Canis lupus familiaris: one gene and its partner. The protein of the gene in region 1 purifies or fractionates together with the protein of each later gene. This does not show direct contact. Links are inferred from orthologs where the notes say so. Each region holds a gene or a part of one and is shown on either strand. Other genes may lie near its edges. The genes, in order: FTSJ1 and WDR6.

The links.
Region 2: the proteins of FTSJ1 (region 1) and WDR6 purify together in Homo sapiens (affinity purification with mass spectrometry; 3 studies listed by BioGRID and IntAct, with this or other methods). This does not show direct contact. The link is inferred for Canis lupus familiaris from reciprocal best matches to the Homo sapiens genes FTSJ1 and WDR6.

What each region holds. Positions count from the first base shown.
Region 1 is NC_049260.1:41,935,051-41,942,605, forward strand, and holds the end of FTSJ1 (putative tRNA (cytidine(32)/guanosine(34)-2'-O)-methyltransferase), read left to right. Parts: coding exon 1-33; intron 34-118; coding exon 119-172; intron 173-259; coding exon 260-362; intron 363-465; coding exon 466-549; intron 550-1,145; coding exon 1,146-1,249; intron 1,250-1,346; coding exon 1,347-1,595; intron 1,596-1,766; coding exon 1,767-1,799; 3' UTR 1,800-1,808; intron 1,809-3,814; 3' UTR 3,815-4,415; downstream 4,416-7,555. UniProt on the Homo sapiens protein: Methylates the 2'-O-ribose of nucleotides at positions 32 and 34 of the tRNA anticodon loop of substrate tRNAs. Requisite for faithful cytoplasmic translation.
Region 2 is NC_049241.1:40,559,499-40,567,670, forward strand, and holds the start of WDR6 (WD repeat-containing protein 6), read right to left. Parts: upstream 5,368-8,172; 5' UTR 5,227-5,367; coding exon 5,127-5,226; intron 143-5,126; coding exon 1-142. Other genes in the region: P4HTM (transmembrane prolyl 4-hydroxylase), read right to left, coding at 5,738-5,958, 6,448-6,571, 6,780-6,870, 7,567-7,752. UniProt on the Homo sapiens protein: Together with methyltransferase FTSJ1, methylates the 2'-O-ribose of nucleotides at position 34 of the tRNA anticodon loop of substrate tRNAs. Required for the correct positioning of the substrate tRNA for methylation.

The DNA of each region.
Region 1 (7,555 bases):
GATGAATATATGCAGGCCCAGCTCCTCCTAGCCGTGAGTAACCTTGGCCACCCCTGCCTCAGTTTGGACCCCTCATGCCTGTCTCCACCTCAGCCTTAGCCATTTGTCCTGCCCACAGGCTCTGAATATTGCTACACATGTCTTGAAGCCAGGGGGATGCTTTGTAGCCAAGGTGAGCATTGGAGGACCTGGTGAGGGCAAAATAAGGGTCCTCCAGGGCCGCCCTTGTGCCTTCATCCCCTGTCTCCTCGCCCTACAGATCTTCCGAGGCCGGGATGTGACCCTGATCTACAGCCAGCTGCGAGTCTTCTTCTCTAATGTGCTCTGTGCTAAGCCCAGGAGCAGCCGCAACTCCAGCATAGGTCAGTGGGGTGCAACGGACAGGCAGGCAGACACGAATCTTGGGGATGCATCTTGTGTGGGGTGGAGGTAGCAGTCACCCCTCGCTCTACCTTCCACCCACAGAGGCCTTCGCTGTCTGTCAGGGTTATGACCCCCCTGAAGGCTTCCTTCCAGACCTGACCAAACCCCTGCTGGACCATTCGTACGGTGAGAGCCAGAGTTCTGGGCCCCCTCCCTGGGGAGACTCTACCCCCTTATGGAATGTATGTCTTAGGAGGGCCCTCAGCCCCACCCCTGTATGGATGTTTTGTCCCAGGAGGATCTTCATCCCAGTCTTCTCATGGTTACTCTTGGGTCCCAAGTCCTGCCCCAGTGGAGATTACGCCCACCTAAGTTTCTAGCCTAAGAAGACTGGGTCACGCACCCAGGTGGATACTCCACCCCTGCATGGGAATTTGGCCTCGAGAGAGTCTTTAGCCTGGTCCCTAGAGGGAAAAGGCACAGAGCCTGCTCTTAAGGTGAACACACTTGAGTGAGACAGGGTTCAGGCAGCTTATGGTAGAATGGCAGGTGAACATAAGGCGCAGTGTGAGAAGAGCAGGAGAGGGGGATGCTCTAGAACAGGTGATCTTGGAGGGGCTCCCTGAGGAGGTGATCTGAACAAAATGAAGGATTTCTGGTGGAGGAGTGTGAGAGTAGCTGGTAGGTACATAGGAAGGATTCTGTACCCTTGCTGTAGAAGGAGTCCCAACTGGTCCCAGGCATCCCAGTCCTGTCCTGTCTTATTTCTCCCTGCTTGTCAGATCCAGATTTCAACCAATTAGATGGTCCCACTCGCATCATTGTGCCATTTGTGACCTGTGGAGACCTGAGCTCCTATGATTCAGACCGCAGTTACCCACTGGACGTGAGTGCCCAACCAATAGTAGGCAGGGGATGGCGGGGTAGAGGGGCTCTCCTGGGTTCTCATATCCTCACCATCTTCCCCCAATGTGTCCCTGCAGCTAGAGGACGGCTCAGAATATAAGTACACTCCACCCACGCAGCCCCCCATCTCGCCACCGTACCAGGAGGCCTGCACGTTGAAGAAGAAGGGGCGGCTGGCCAAGGAGCTCCGCCCCCAGGACTGCCCCATCAGCACAGTGGACACGCTGTCCCAGCCCCTGGCGGCCCCACAGCGCCACACCCTGCTGGCCCCTGAGGTCCGGAAACCTGTGGCCCAGGGCCCTCTGTGCCCTTTCTCTGAGCCCACAGTGAGCCCCTCTTAGTGTACCTCTCTCTGTCCCCAAATGGCGTGGTTCTGGGGCAGGGTAGAATGCTCATCCCTGCCTCCCAGCAACTATAAAAAGTTGATGGGTAAAACCAAGTGTAATGAATGGAAAAGCTTGGCAAGTACCTGAGTCATTTTTCTTTTTCTTGGGTAGGTGGAAGACAGTGAAATGAATTGTTCGCCTTAATACACTCAGGTAAATTTGCCTTTTTAGCTAATAGTTTGAGTGAAGAGCACCTTTAAGAAAAAAACTCAGGAAAATTTCACCTTTGAAATGTTTATATCAACTGATAAGATTTCAGTCAGCCCACCTTTACTAAGTACCTGATGTCACATGCCAAGAACTGCTTTCAGTGTTTTAGGTATGGAGGCATTCAGCAAACTGTTTCTTTTTTTTTTTAATTAATTAATTTATTTATTTATGATAGTCACACACACAGAGAGAGAGAGAGAGAGAGGCAGAGACATAGGCAGAGGGAGAAGCAGGCTCCATGCACCGGGAGCCCGATGTGGGATTCGATCCCGGGTCTCCAGGATTGCGCCCTGCACCAAAGGCAGGCGCCAAACCGCTGCGCCACCCAGGGATCCCAGCAAACTGTTTCTTAACCACACGCTGTGTGCCAGGCATTGTTCTAGTTTGGGAGATAAAGCAGGGAACAGAACAGGCAAATATTCTGGTGCTGGTGGAGCTTCCAGATTGGGAAAGGGGTAATAAAAACAGCTTATGAATGCAGGAGTTTCTACACACGGCATACACATAGATACATTATATATGCATACTTGTACACATACACATTTCTAGCTTTCATTTCAGTATATATAGCTTAAATTATACTGTAGATATAAAGGTATATTTATATATATATCATATATATATGTAAAGGTAATAAGGGATATAAAAATTTTTTTAAAGATTTTATTTATTTATTCATGAGAGACACACAGAGAGGCAGGCTCCATGCGGGGAGCCTGATGTGGGACTTGATCCCGGGTCTCCAGGATCACACCCTGAGCTGAAGGCAGATGCTTAATTGCTGAGCCACCCAGGCATCCCAAGAATTATTTTTAATAAAGTAAGGTAAACAGAATCAGGAATTTCAGGGGTGGCAGTTTTTCAGTTTTTAAATGGGTTATCATGGAAGGGCTTACTGAGGTAATGTTTGAGCCAAGACCTAAAGGAGGTGAGGGAGGGAATGCATGTGTTCATCTAGGGGAAGAATGTTCCACGGAGAGAGAGTAGCAAATGCAAAGATCCTGAGGTAGAACTATGGCTGGTGTGTAAGGGAGTAGCGAGGGGCCAGTTCTGCTCCTAAGAAATAAGTACCAGAATTCTTCACTGGCACTATTTGTACCCTCAGGCTAGATATAGCCCAAACATCTATTAACTGCAGAGTGGATCATTAAATCATGGTATATTCACAGTGGGGAATTACACAGCAATGAGAATGAACATACTACAATTATGAAAACACCTTGTCAGTCCTTAAACTGAACCTATATAAAACATGTAAGTGTGTATTTTTCTGTATGTTACAGTTCACAATAGAAGTGGTAGGGGGGAAGGTCAAAAAAATGTTAGTACTGGGGCACCTGGGTGGCTCTGTCAGTTGGGCATCTGCCTTGGGCTCAGGATGATCCCGGGGTCCTAGAATCAAGCCCCACAATCAGGCTTCCTGCTCAAGGCGGAGGCTGCTTCTCACTTTGCCTCTCCCTCTGCTTGTGCTCTCTCTCTGCCTGTCAAATAAATAAATAAAATTTTTTTAAGTTTTTAAAAATTTTTTATTTATTCATGAGAGACACAGAAAGAGAGGCAGAGACGCAGGCAGAGAGAGAAGAAGCAGGTTCCATGAAAGAAGCCTGATATGGGACTCAATCCTGGGACTCCAGGATCACGCCCTGGGCCGAAGGCAGACACTCAACTGCTGAGCCACCCAGGGGTCCCAAGTACTGACATTTCTTTAAAGATTTTATTTATTGGGATGCCTGTCTTCAGCTTAGGGCATGATCCCAGGTCTGGGAATTGAATCCTACATCAGGTTCCCTGTGGGGAACCTGCTCCCTCTGCCATTGTCTCTGCCTGTGTGTGTGTGTGTGTTTCTCATGAATAAATAAATAAAATCTTTAAAAAGAAATGTTAGTAGTTGAGTGAAAAATAATTATGGGAGAATGTATGTTTAAAATTTTCTCTGTCCCTGATTTTAGGTAGCTGGCAGTCTACTACAACCCAGAAGCTGTTTGGCGACAGGAAAACGAAAGAACTTACATTGATGAACTCATTTTCAAATATCTCATCAACGGGTCCTGAACATTCAAGCCCTGAATGGTAACCCACAACAACTAGCAGGAGCCCAGCAAGGAAAGCAACAGCACAGTATGCCTGTCTACACCACAGAGGGGATTTTTGAGCGAGGCCTTGCCTCCTTTCTAAATCTTTCCAGAGGTGTCCTGATTATTTCTAGAGTTTACCCCCAAAGTAGGGGTTCTTCACCGTATAGAAATCAGGGGTATCTGTGAACCTGATGGAGGAAAATCTTACATCTTTATTTTCACTAATATAACTGAAATTTCACTAATATAACTAAAATTTAGCTTTACTCCCCAATAGGAATACTGGCAACAAATCACAATAGTAAAAGCAGTGCCTGTTACCTTTTACCTTCCCACCAATACAAATTAGTTACTTTTTATGTTCCATTACAGTTTTTGCAGGCATCTTAAGATGCTGTTCACGTTTGGCACTACTTTGACTTATAGAAGATCTTATAATTTGATGTACTAATAAAAAAGTCCATATATTACTGTATGCCAGTGTTGTTTCATTTTAATATATATAGTAATATTTGTTCTCATTAACATAAGACATAAATTTAAAGTATACAACCTAATTCAATGTATACTTATTGCAGAATGATTACAGTAAGTTAATATGCATCACCTCACAGAAATTTTTTCCTGTGATAGGAACTTTTAAGATCTCTCTCTCTTCTCTCTTTTTTTAAGATTTTATTTTATTTATTCATGGGAGACACAGAGAGAGAGGCAGAGACATAGTCAGAGGGAGAAGCAGGCCCCCTTGTAGGGAACCTGATGCGGGACTTGATCCGGGGACTCCAGGATCATGCTCTGAGCTGAAGGCAGACACTCAAATGCTGAGCCACCCAAGTGTCCCAAGATCTCTCTCTTTTCTAAATATTTTATTTAGCCATTTGAGAGAGAAAGAGTGCAGGGGTGAGGAGGGGGAGAGAGATAAGAGCAGGCTCCCTGCTGAGCAGGGAGCCCGACACAGTGCTCGATCCCGACACAGTGCTCGATCCCGGGACCACGCCAAGACCACAACCCAAGCCAAAGACAAGCCCATCTGACTGAGATACTCAGGCATCCCCAAGATCTACTCTCTTAGAACCTTTCAAATATATGATCTGGATAATCATAGTCACTATCCAGTACCTTACAGCCCTAAACTTATAACTTGAAGTTTGTACCTTTTGACCACCTTCACCCATTTGACCCCTGCCTCTGGCAACCATCGATTTATTGTCTGTTTCTAGGAGTTTGGGCTTTTTTAGATTACACATACAAGATCTTCACTTCATAGTATTTGTCTTTCTCTAACTTATTGCACTTAGCACAATGGACTTGAGGTCCATCTGTCTCACAAATGGCAGGATTTCCTTTCCATGGCCAAGTAATCTTCTATTGTATATATAAATACATATACCACACTTTATCCATTCATCTGTCGACAGACAAGTAGTTTTTTCTCATATCTCTGCAACAAGAACCCCTATAAGCGATGTCAGAAAGTCTGCCTTGACTGCAGTGCTGAATTTCTACAAGTTAGCCAACAGGAGCTGCCAAGCTCACCAGCTACACAGGCAGAACTAGTTTCTGTAGCTTACACCTGTGTCTAGAAACACATTCTCTTTTTTTTTTTTTTTTTTTTGGTTAGAAACACATTCTCTGTGTACACCTCAATTTGGTGACCTCAGGACCACCCACATCCCAGTTGGTGACCCTAGATGTCTCTGTCCTTGACGGTGTGAACCTGGGCATGTCCATACTGAGTCTATAACGCTGGATGTTGGGGATGGGGCACACTACACAATGTCAAACCAGGAGTCTTCTCACCCAAGCAGTGTGATTCTGGAAATGTATAACAGAAGTATCTGCGCAAAAGCCTACATGGCCATGGCATATCTGTACCTATTACCATGTAAATTCAAAGTGTCCACACTAGAGGCTGAGGCCCCAGGAGTAGCCAACTAAATCTCCAGGAGTATAAACACACCAGCCCTTGAGACCCAGCAAATACCCACATATCAGGTTTTGTGTCCATAATCGCATCCAACCCCATCTGTATGATATCTGGCATATACACACAAGTCCCTGTGATGGGAATAATTTCCAATCCCCAGACTGTGTGACCCAGCAGTGTCCCAAGCCCTGAATGTGTGGCCCAGGAAGGGCCAGCCTAACTCAGTTTCAGTCTCCCAACTTTGGGAGCACCCTGTCTGGCTCTGAGTTTGGATACCATACCCTTGCAACTCCACATCCCTCCATGTGACCCCTGAATTTTCCACACCCAAGTCAATTTGTCTACAGAGGCATGTGTATCCCATACCATGTGTCCCCAGTTGAGCATTTACCATAGTCTGAGTGACCCCTTGTGTGTCCTTAGGAGCACACCCCTCATCTGTGTTACCACAGAATTGTTCACACCCTAGTCCATCACCATAGGCCCAGTCGTTGTCCCCTGGGAGTGATCCTTCTTCAGACTTTGAAATGCCAGAAGTGTCCACACCAAGTCTGTGTAATCCCAGGAGGGCCCACAGCCAGCCTGTTTCTCCAGAAGTCTCCACACAATAGCTTGTCTGTGTAAACCCAGGATGATCAACTTTCTACGTGACCATGGGAGAAGCCACAACCCCGTCTTTGTGTCCTCAGGGTGGCATACCCTTAGCCACCCTGATTCCTGGGGTTTTTACACCTTAGGCTATGTGATCAAATAAGTCTCCATGCCCCAAGCTCTGACCACCAGGGAGTCACTCCCTAGTCGCAACTCTAAAGGGCTTTCCACACCTCAATCTCTGTGGCCCCAAGTCCATTCACTACATTGCCTGCGTGGCCATGGGAGTTTCCACTTCCCAGTCTGGGTGACCCTAAGAGCAGCCAAACTCTTGTCTGTATGATCCCAAGAGTGTCTATATCCCAAAGACTGTGAGCAGGGGAGTGTCTACACTTCAGTACAAACACTTTCTCTTCCTTCTCTTCCTTGTCTCTGGGACCACAGATGAGTCCTGGCTGTGTCCACATCCCAGTGTCTGACTACAGAAACGTCCAGAGCCCAGCCCATGAGGATGTGTCCCACGATCAATGTGAGTCCAGAAGTGGCATCAGCCCAGTCATTGTGACCACAGGAGTTTCCATATCACAGTCGGGGGCACCATGAGCTCATGTGTGGCAAACTGTGGTCACAGAGGTGTCCATACTCCAGTCTACGGGACTCCACACATGTCCACGGCTCAGTCTGTGATGTTCTGGGAGTGGTTTACACCAGTCCAGCCACTTCAGGAGTGTCCATTCCCCAGTCTCCATAACCTGTGAGTGTCCACACCTCCATCTTTGTGACAGAAGCAATGTCCAATTCCAACTCCGTTGTCCAAACCCCACCGTGTTGTCTATACCCCAGCCTGTATGGCCTCTCAAGGGTGTAGTCCCATCAGTAAGACCACAGTAGTAGGAAACTCCTGTGCCTGGGAGGCCTGGTAGGTCCATACTCCAGTCTGGGTAACCCAGGGAGGACATTCCCACATCTGTGTGACCAAATAAGTCTCCACACCCCCGTATCTGTGACTCCAGGGTAGACAGTTTCCCATTCCATGTGAAAAGAAGAGTACCCACGCCAAATTCTGTGTGACCACAAGGGTGCCCATTCCCCATCTG
Region 2 (8,172 bases), on another chromosome or scaffold:
TCCGAGTCAACGTCTCCATTTGGTTCTGGTCGCACCCGGAACCCATGGATAAGATAGTGACCAAGCAGGTTCTGCACACGCTTCATCATCCGCAGATGGCCACCAAAATCGAGGCTGTACACCAGGACATCTGGCCCCTCACCTAGACAGAAGCAGAGAGCCACATCAGAACCTCACTCAACTCTGATAAGCCATGAAGAGACAGGGGCAGGGAAAATTCGGGTATATAGCCTGTGAATGCTCTAGAACACACAATCCTGCTGGCTTGAACCCTGGAAAACCCTTGGCCTCAGCTTCAGCTGGACTTTTAATGCGGACTCTCAGGTGCCTACAGTCACTCCAGACACCTCGGTTCAACCTGGCTTCCTCAAACACAGCCTCTTCCTCACCTCACCTAACTTCTCATGCTTCCAGCAGGAACCCTCGCAGTCTTCATCCCAAATCTGCAATGGCATCTGCCTCTATGCACTCTTCCCACCCTCCCTCCCCTAGGGAAGAGGGGGTCCTCAAAGGTGATCCTCCCATGTTTGGGACATAACAGAACCCCTCTGGATTTCCAAGAGCTTCTTCCATACAGCTCAGATGTGAGCATATTCAACACTGACATGAAAAACCAGGAGAGATGGCCCCCACATCGGTAGCCAAGGCTCCCATGACCCTCAACTGCCTTCTGGCTGCCTGGTGAATTTGTTGATTTTTTTTTTTTTTCTCCCCTCTTACTCAATGCTTTTCACTCCACTGCTCACTCCATTGACTGTTACCAGCCTCTACTCAGCTCCAGCCCCAGCCCCAGCCCCAGCCTCAAACCAGGAAGATCATGGCTTATTCCCCCCTAAGCTTTCCACATCTTCTCATGTTCTCAGTCTCCAAGTCCCCTGTGCTCATTTTCTAAAGATTTTGCAAATCCTCCTCACCACACTGATTGTGGTCCAGGATATCAACTTCTTTTTTTTTTTTTAATTGAAACTACTTTTTTTTTTTTTTTAAAGATTTTATTTATTTATTCATGATAGTCACACAAAGAGAGAGAGAGGCAGAGACACAGGCAGAGGGAGAAGCAGGCTCCATGCAGGGAGCCTGACGTGGGATTCGATCCCAGGTCTCCAGGGTCACGCCCTGGGCCAAAGGCAGGCGCCAAACCACTGCGCCACCCAGGGATCCCTAAACTACTTTATTTTTTGTAAGATTTTATTTATTTATTCATGAGACATAGAGTGAGAGGCAGAGACACAGGCAGAGGGAGAAGCAGGCTCCATGCAGGGATCCCGACCTGGGACTCAATCCCAGGACCCTGGGATTACACCCTGAGCAGACGCTCAACCGCTGAGCCACCCAGGCATCCCTAGGATATCAACCTTTTAACCTGAGATCTTAACCTGAGATGACACTAATAGTCTCTCATGCCATTCTGAGCCTGCAATCTCCATCTTTCCACACTTGACATTCACTGAGCATCGATTATACACCAGACAAGGAACTACACGCTGGGTAGTGAGTAAGACAAACACAGACCCAAGGCTCCTGATCATCAGGCAGAAGCTAAACAGTATCACCCGGGATCCCTGGGTGGCACAGAGGTTTGGTGCCTGCCTTTGGCCCAGGGCACTATCCTGGAGACCCGGGATCGAGTCCCACATCGGGCTCCTGGTGCATGGAGCCTGCTTCTCCCTCTGTCTGTGTCTCTGCCTCTCTCTCTCTCTGTGTGACTATCATAAATAAATAAATTAATTAAAAAATAAATAAGTAAATAAACAGTATCACCCAAATAAACTACATTGTTACATAACTTCGGTAAATTCCAAGAAAGAACTATACAGGCTGCTTTAACATAAAAGAGGGAAATCGACTTCTGTGATTTTTCCCTCCAGAAGACATTTAGCAGTATCTGGAGACATTTTTGGTTGTCACAACTGGGTTATGTTAACTGGAATCTAGGAGTAGAAGCCTTGCTGTCTGTGATTTGAAACGTCCTGTGAATCACAGACAGCCCCTCACCCAAAAAATGACCTGGGGGAAAGGGTGCAAGGTTTGAAAGATGGCAGACAACATGGACCAGCAACAAACTACCAACACCGTAGAAGAGCCCCTGGATCTCATCAGGCTCAGCCTGGATGAGCGAATTTATGTGAAACTGAGAAATGACCGAGAGCTTCGAGGCAGATTACATGCTTATGATCAGCATTTAAATATGATATTGGGGGATCCCTGGGTGGCGCAGCGGTTTGGCGCCTGCCTTTGGCCCAGGGTGCGATCCTGGAGACCCAGGATCGAATCCCACATCGGGCTCCCGGTGCATAGAGCCTGCTTCTCCTTCTGCCTGTGTCTCTGCCTCTCTCTCTCTCTCTGTGACTATCATAAATAAATAAAAATTTAAAAAAAATAAATAAATAAATAAATAAATATGATATTGGGAGATGTGGAAGAAACTGTGACTACTATAGAAATTGATGAAGAAACATATGAAGAGATATATAAATCAACAAAACGGAATATTCCGATGCTTTTTGTCTGGGGAGATTGTGTTGTACTAGTTGCTCCTCCATTAAGAGTTGGCTGAAACAAAGAATTTATCGTGTATGGAATACAGGAGATTTTGTATGATTGCCTCTTTAAATGTAGAAGACATCAAAAGAGAAACCTGCATTCATTTTGATATTAAGAAATGACCAAGGATTCTTCCACTCCTGAAATGAGTTGATTTGCAGATAACTCAAAAATTCTTAAGCTAAAGGGTGTTTAATTTTTTTCCCAACTCTTTCAATAAATGTGATCACCAGGATGCAGAACTCTTTGTTTTTTTATTTTTTATTTTTTTAATACTTTTTTTTTTCTTTATTTATTTATGATAGTCACACAGAGAGAGAGAGGCAGAGACACAGGCAGAGGGAGAAGCAGGCTCCATGCACCCGGAGCCCGACGTGGGATTCGATCCCGGGTCTCCAGGATCGCGCCCTGGGCCAAAGGCAGGCGCAAAACCGCTGCGCCACCCAGGGATCCCCAGGATGCAGAACTCTTTGTTCAGGAATTCATTTGCTCTGTTGTTTTCTCAGACAATTTCTGTTATTTTTTTCCTTTAAATTAAATTTCATGTTTCCTTTTTTAAATTAAAAAAAAAAAAAAAAAAAAAAAAAGACCTGGGCCAAACATCAACAGTGCAGAGACTGAGAAACTCTAGTGCCATCTAAGCAGACTTGGTGACTATCAGGGCAGGCCACCCTGAGAAATAAATAAGCTGTGGTAACCAGAGGAAGAGCAGGCATGCGGGGGAGATGGATGAACCTTTCTGGACGAAAGGAACAGCAAGTTTGATGGAGGTGAGCAAGAACTCTAGGTCATGTGGTTGGAATAGGAAACAAAGGGCTGGGGGATGGACTAAGAGAATGCTGCTGATGGGGTCCAGGAGCCAAAGTTGCATAGCCTCGAATGATGGCAATAAGTAGAGAAACAGACAGATGCCACAACTTTGTAGTCAAAATCAACCAGACTGGCTTGAGGACTGAGGGAGTGGCTTGGGCTTGAGCACCTGGGTGGCTGTTGTTCCCCTTGCTCAGCTGGAGTACCCAGCAGGAGTATTTCAATTTTAAAGCACCTGTGCACTTGGGCCTAGAACTTATAAACAAAGAAGGCTGGAAATTGAGATTATAAGTGCACATAGGTAGAATCTGAGAATTGTAAAAATATAAAAATCACTTTGGAAGTCACAGGAGCAGAATTCACTTGAAGAGCTTTCTAACCCGCATTTCCTAAATCATTTCCCTGCTTAAAACCCTTCAAAGGGCCTCTCTCCACGACCCACCATTAAGTCAGATCTAGGTATAAAATAAAACAATCTGGCCTCTGCTCATTTCTCCAGCCTCTTCTCCCAGACTCCACTCCTGCTCAGTCTCCCAGGAACTCCCTCTCTTCCCCAAAGTAACAAATTATCAGCATCAAGGCCTTTAGCAGGCTTATCCTCACCAAGAACTCACCTCTTCTCTTCTCTTAGCTCATTCCTGTGATTCTTTGGGTTTCTGCCTACCTATCCCCTTCTGCAAGAGCCTTAGAAGTCTAACCCATGATAGGAACCTTGGACTCCCAGAGCTCCCACACCAGATCCCTCCTCTTGCACAAAACCATTCTCTCAGGGGACGCCGAGTGGCTCAGCTGTTGAGCGTCTGCCTTTGGCTCAGGGCGTGATCCCAGAGTTCTGGGATCAAGTCCCACATCAGGCTCCCTGCATGGAGCCCGTTTCTCCCTCTGCCTATGTCTCTGCCTCTCCCTCTGTGTGTCTCTCTTGAATAAGTAAATAACATCTTAAAAAAAAAAAAAAAAAACCACACCCCCCCCCCCCCATAGGATAGGAATCTCATTCAAGGCTTGAGAGTCAATGTCCTGCCTCAGGAACCTTAAAAGACCCAGCAGCACCACCATCAGTAACTAGTGGCTTCCATTCGGTCCTCGATGCTCTCCAGGGTTCTGCTGCTTCAGATGGCCCATGCTTCTCGACCTGACCTTCCGCGAAAGGCCATCAACATTGGATTCCCTGGATGCAACTATCTCAGAAGAGGCCTCGGGGTCTGCCTCCGCAGCCACTGGCCCAATCGGAAAGGTTTCATCCTTGGTTTCCTGGTTTCCCGCCACCCATCCTCGTCATAATCACCTTCCAAGGAGAAGCCTCACCCGCCCCTCGGAGGCCAGAGCCCCGTCTACCGGGCCCCGCCCACCCCCACCCTCCCCAGATGCCACACCACAGACCCTCCCCTCCCAACTCCCCAACCTTGAGGGGGCTCACCTCCAACCTACCAGCTCCGCTCCCGGAAGGGGCCACACACCGTTCTCCCTCTCTTCCCCGCCTCCCAAGCCACTGCGGTTCCCCGTGCTTTCCCGCGGCCCCACCGCCCTTTCCATGTCAGATGCAGATTGTGAAGGAACTCGACAGCCACATCGGGTTGGTTTTTTTTTTTTTTTTCCTTTGGGGCCCCTCCGGCCGGGTCTCCAGCCCATCTCCTGGGTTCCCGCCCACCTCGGTCGGGCTTCATCCGGCCGCCCGCCCTCCTCCTTAGGGGCATCCCTTTGTTCTCATGGTCCCGCCCCATGCGAGCGCCCGGGTTCTTATCCGCTAGCGCGCGCCTCGAGCCAAACCTCACCCGCCAACAGCCGATCCCCCACGCACTCCAGACCCGTGACCGGGAGCAGTATGAGCTCGGAGGTTGCCCGCGGCCAAACGTAGTCCTCGGGAGCGTCCATGACGATCCTCTAGCCGCGGCGCCTTCCTTTGCCAAGAAGGGATCTGGGCTCTCGCGAGACGAACCTTCCTCGCGCGCAGCCGAGCCGATCTGCAGCGGCCTTGGCAACAGGTAGCCGAGCCCAGGGTCGCCCGCGGCCGGTGTCCAATCACGACCCTTCGCCCCACGCAAGCCAGCTCGTCATTGGCGAAGGCGTCCTCGCCCCTCCCCCTGACGTGAGGCTCGCCGAGCGCTGCGGCCCACCCCTACAGGCCGGGTCAGCCTGCCCCCGACCCCACCTGCGCCTTCGCGGCCCAGCAGCTCAAAGCCGTGTAGTTTTATTGGAGGGGGCATAATGGGTCTGTACACAATAAATAACACGAATATAGGAACGGTGCCCTAGTCGCGGCTGGAGACGGGATGGGGCAAGACCTCGGCCGAGCCTTTGGCCTGCATCTGGACAGGCGAACGGCGGGTCCCCAGACCTGGGGCGGCAGGAGGCCTGTGGCTGGGGGCTGAGGCCCGCCCTGCCCTCAGAGCTCCACGCGCGCGTCGCGGTAGGCCCGGTCCACGGCCCACTCTGGCTGGGAGTCGGCGCCACCTTCTCGGGCCAGGCGCGCCATCTCCTGCTGGAACAGTGCCTGCCGAGCCCGGCTGGGATCCACATTGATCCAGTTGTTGGCAATCCACTTAGTGCCGCGTGTGACCAGGCAGCCCCCGTGCAGCGAGTAGTCATCCACGTCGCCCACCCAACCTAGAGAGGAGGATGGTGTGAGCAAAGGAGGGGACCAGAGGGACTCTAGGCTGTGCTGACCTGAGCTTGACCTCATAGGGGCCAAGGGCATGGCCAGGGTGGGCCCAGCTGCGCACACATGTAGGGGCAAAGTCTGGCCCCAAGGTCTCCTTGGGGCATGGTATCTCTCTCCAACTAATGCACTGACAAAACTACTGGTCTGAAACCAGCCTTCTTGCTCCTAGTCCTGTCCACAGCCTGAGTCAATGACAGATGTGTCCCCAGCCCCAGTGAGCTGGAAGGCTAGAGCATCACGGAATCCATTACAGACCTCAAGGTAACCCAGGAGGCTACACAGGTGCGTGCCCCTGAAGTCACTGAGGATGGTCTTTTGGAGGCACCAGGGACAGAAGAACATTTGTAGGGGTGCCAGAAACATCCCACCAGGGTGGCTGTCTGGGCTGGGTAGGCTTCCCTCATGGTACCCTTGGCCTGGCCACAGGCCCTCACCTTGTCCATCAGGCAGGTAGTTGTACCAGAAGACTGCTGTGCCCTGCCGGGGCTTGACACGCAGATTCCCCTTGTCACAATGCCTCCGAGTGTCGCGGAGATCAACATCATCCTGAATCAGACTCTGTGGGCAGCAGGATGCTGGGGTTCTCAAACTGCCCCCACTGTACGCCCAAGGGCCAGGGCCAGGAAGCCAAAAGTGGCCAGAGGGAAACCAGTCAGAAGTGCCCAGGGGATCACTTAGGCGCATCATCCCAGGTCTGGAGGGGTATATACTATGATTGCCCAAGGCCTTGCCATCCCACCAGAGTAACAGCCTGGTTGGCCCTTACCATTTCATCGTAGGTTCTGTTGTCTGCTACAGGGAAGACAGTCTCGCCCCCACCGGTGACGTTGTTCAAATAAAACAGCACTGTCATGTAGCTGTAAGGCAGGGGGCCTGCTGAGCAGCTGTGGACACTCCCACGGGCTTACCTGTGGGCAGGATAAGCTGCCCAGGTTCCCAAGGGCAAGAGGGGCAGGCTGAGATCAGTAACACTGCACATCAGTGCCAAGATGTCCCTAAGCCAGTCCTTCCTCCCACAAACCCAGTCTCTATGTATCAGACTGTTTTGTGTGATCACAGGTGCACTTCGCTAAATTGCATGGCTGGCAGGGAAAGGTATGCGAGCAGAAGCAGCACAACCATGCAGGAGGGCTGGCTGGGAATAGAAGGGGCTGACCCAGAGCAGTCACACGAAGGGTAGAGACCTGCCGACCTGCCCCCCTGCCTCAGCAGGGAAGGGGGACAAAGCTTCAAAGAGAGAAGCTGAAGCCTCCAGCAGTGGAGAAGAATCAAGACCCAGGGGAGAGGGGGGCAAAAAAAGCTGGAGACTCAGCCTTGCCCCATGCCTCAGAGCTCTGGGAACAAGTGTTACTGTCTGTGGGTACCTTAGTTTAGCCACCCCTTTCCTGCCACTTGGTAAACAAACTGCAGGGAAAGATGGGGTATCCTCAGACGGATGGCCCAGCGCTCCCCTGGCCTGACACCAGGGGTATACCGGTAGGGCAGGGCTGTGTTTATGTCATGGGAATGCCTAGTCTGGGAGTTGAAGGCCACCCCAGGTGGGAGGTACTTGCCGGCAGGAGGTCTCGAAGGGTACAGACTCATTGGCTACCAGCTTGGTATGGGAGCAGATGGTCTCTGGGTACACAGGCCCGCTGTCCACATGGGCATGGTAGTGGCCTCCCTCGCCATACCGCACAACCTGCAGTGGCTCACTGAGCTCCACGATTTCAGGTGACAGGCGGGTGAGGCGGAGCACCCTGGTGGACAGCAGGCATTCAGCTGAGCAGTCCCATGCAAGGTGGTGCCCTGGAGAAGCCAGACCCCGGACCTGCCACCAGCTCTACCACTGCCCAACTCCCCTGAAAGCCCCTGACATCAACCCCAGACTGGCCCGGTAGGAGCAGGAAGGGGTTACTCATGAGCCCTTCTCCCTGGATGCCAGAGACTGCGTTGGGTGGGGAAGATGAGATTTCCACTAAATTGGGAGTGGGGGTCACTCCCTCCAGGAAGGAGGTTGCTTATCTAAAACCCCTGGCTGCTCAAGGGCAGGGGGGCCTGTGGACAGAGATAAGACGTCATTTCTCTAATTAGCGAAAAACAAACATTGCAATCTATTTCTAATCCCAAATGTATATTGTTTGCCCACAATTAGGGTTAATTTGCCTTTGTTAATTGCC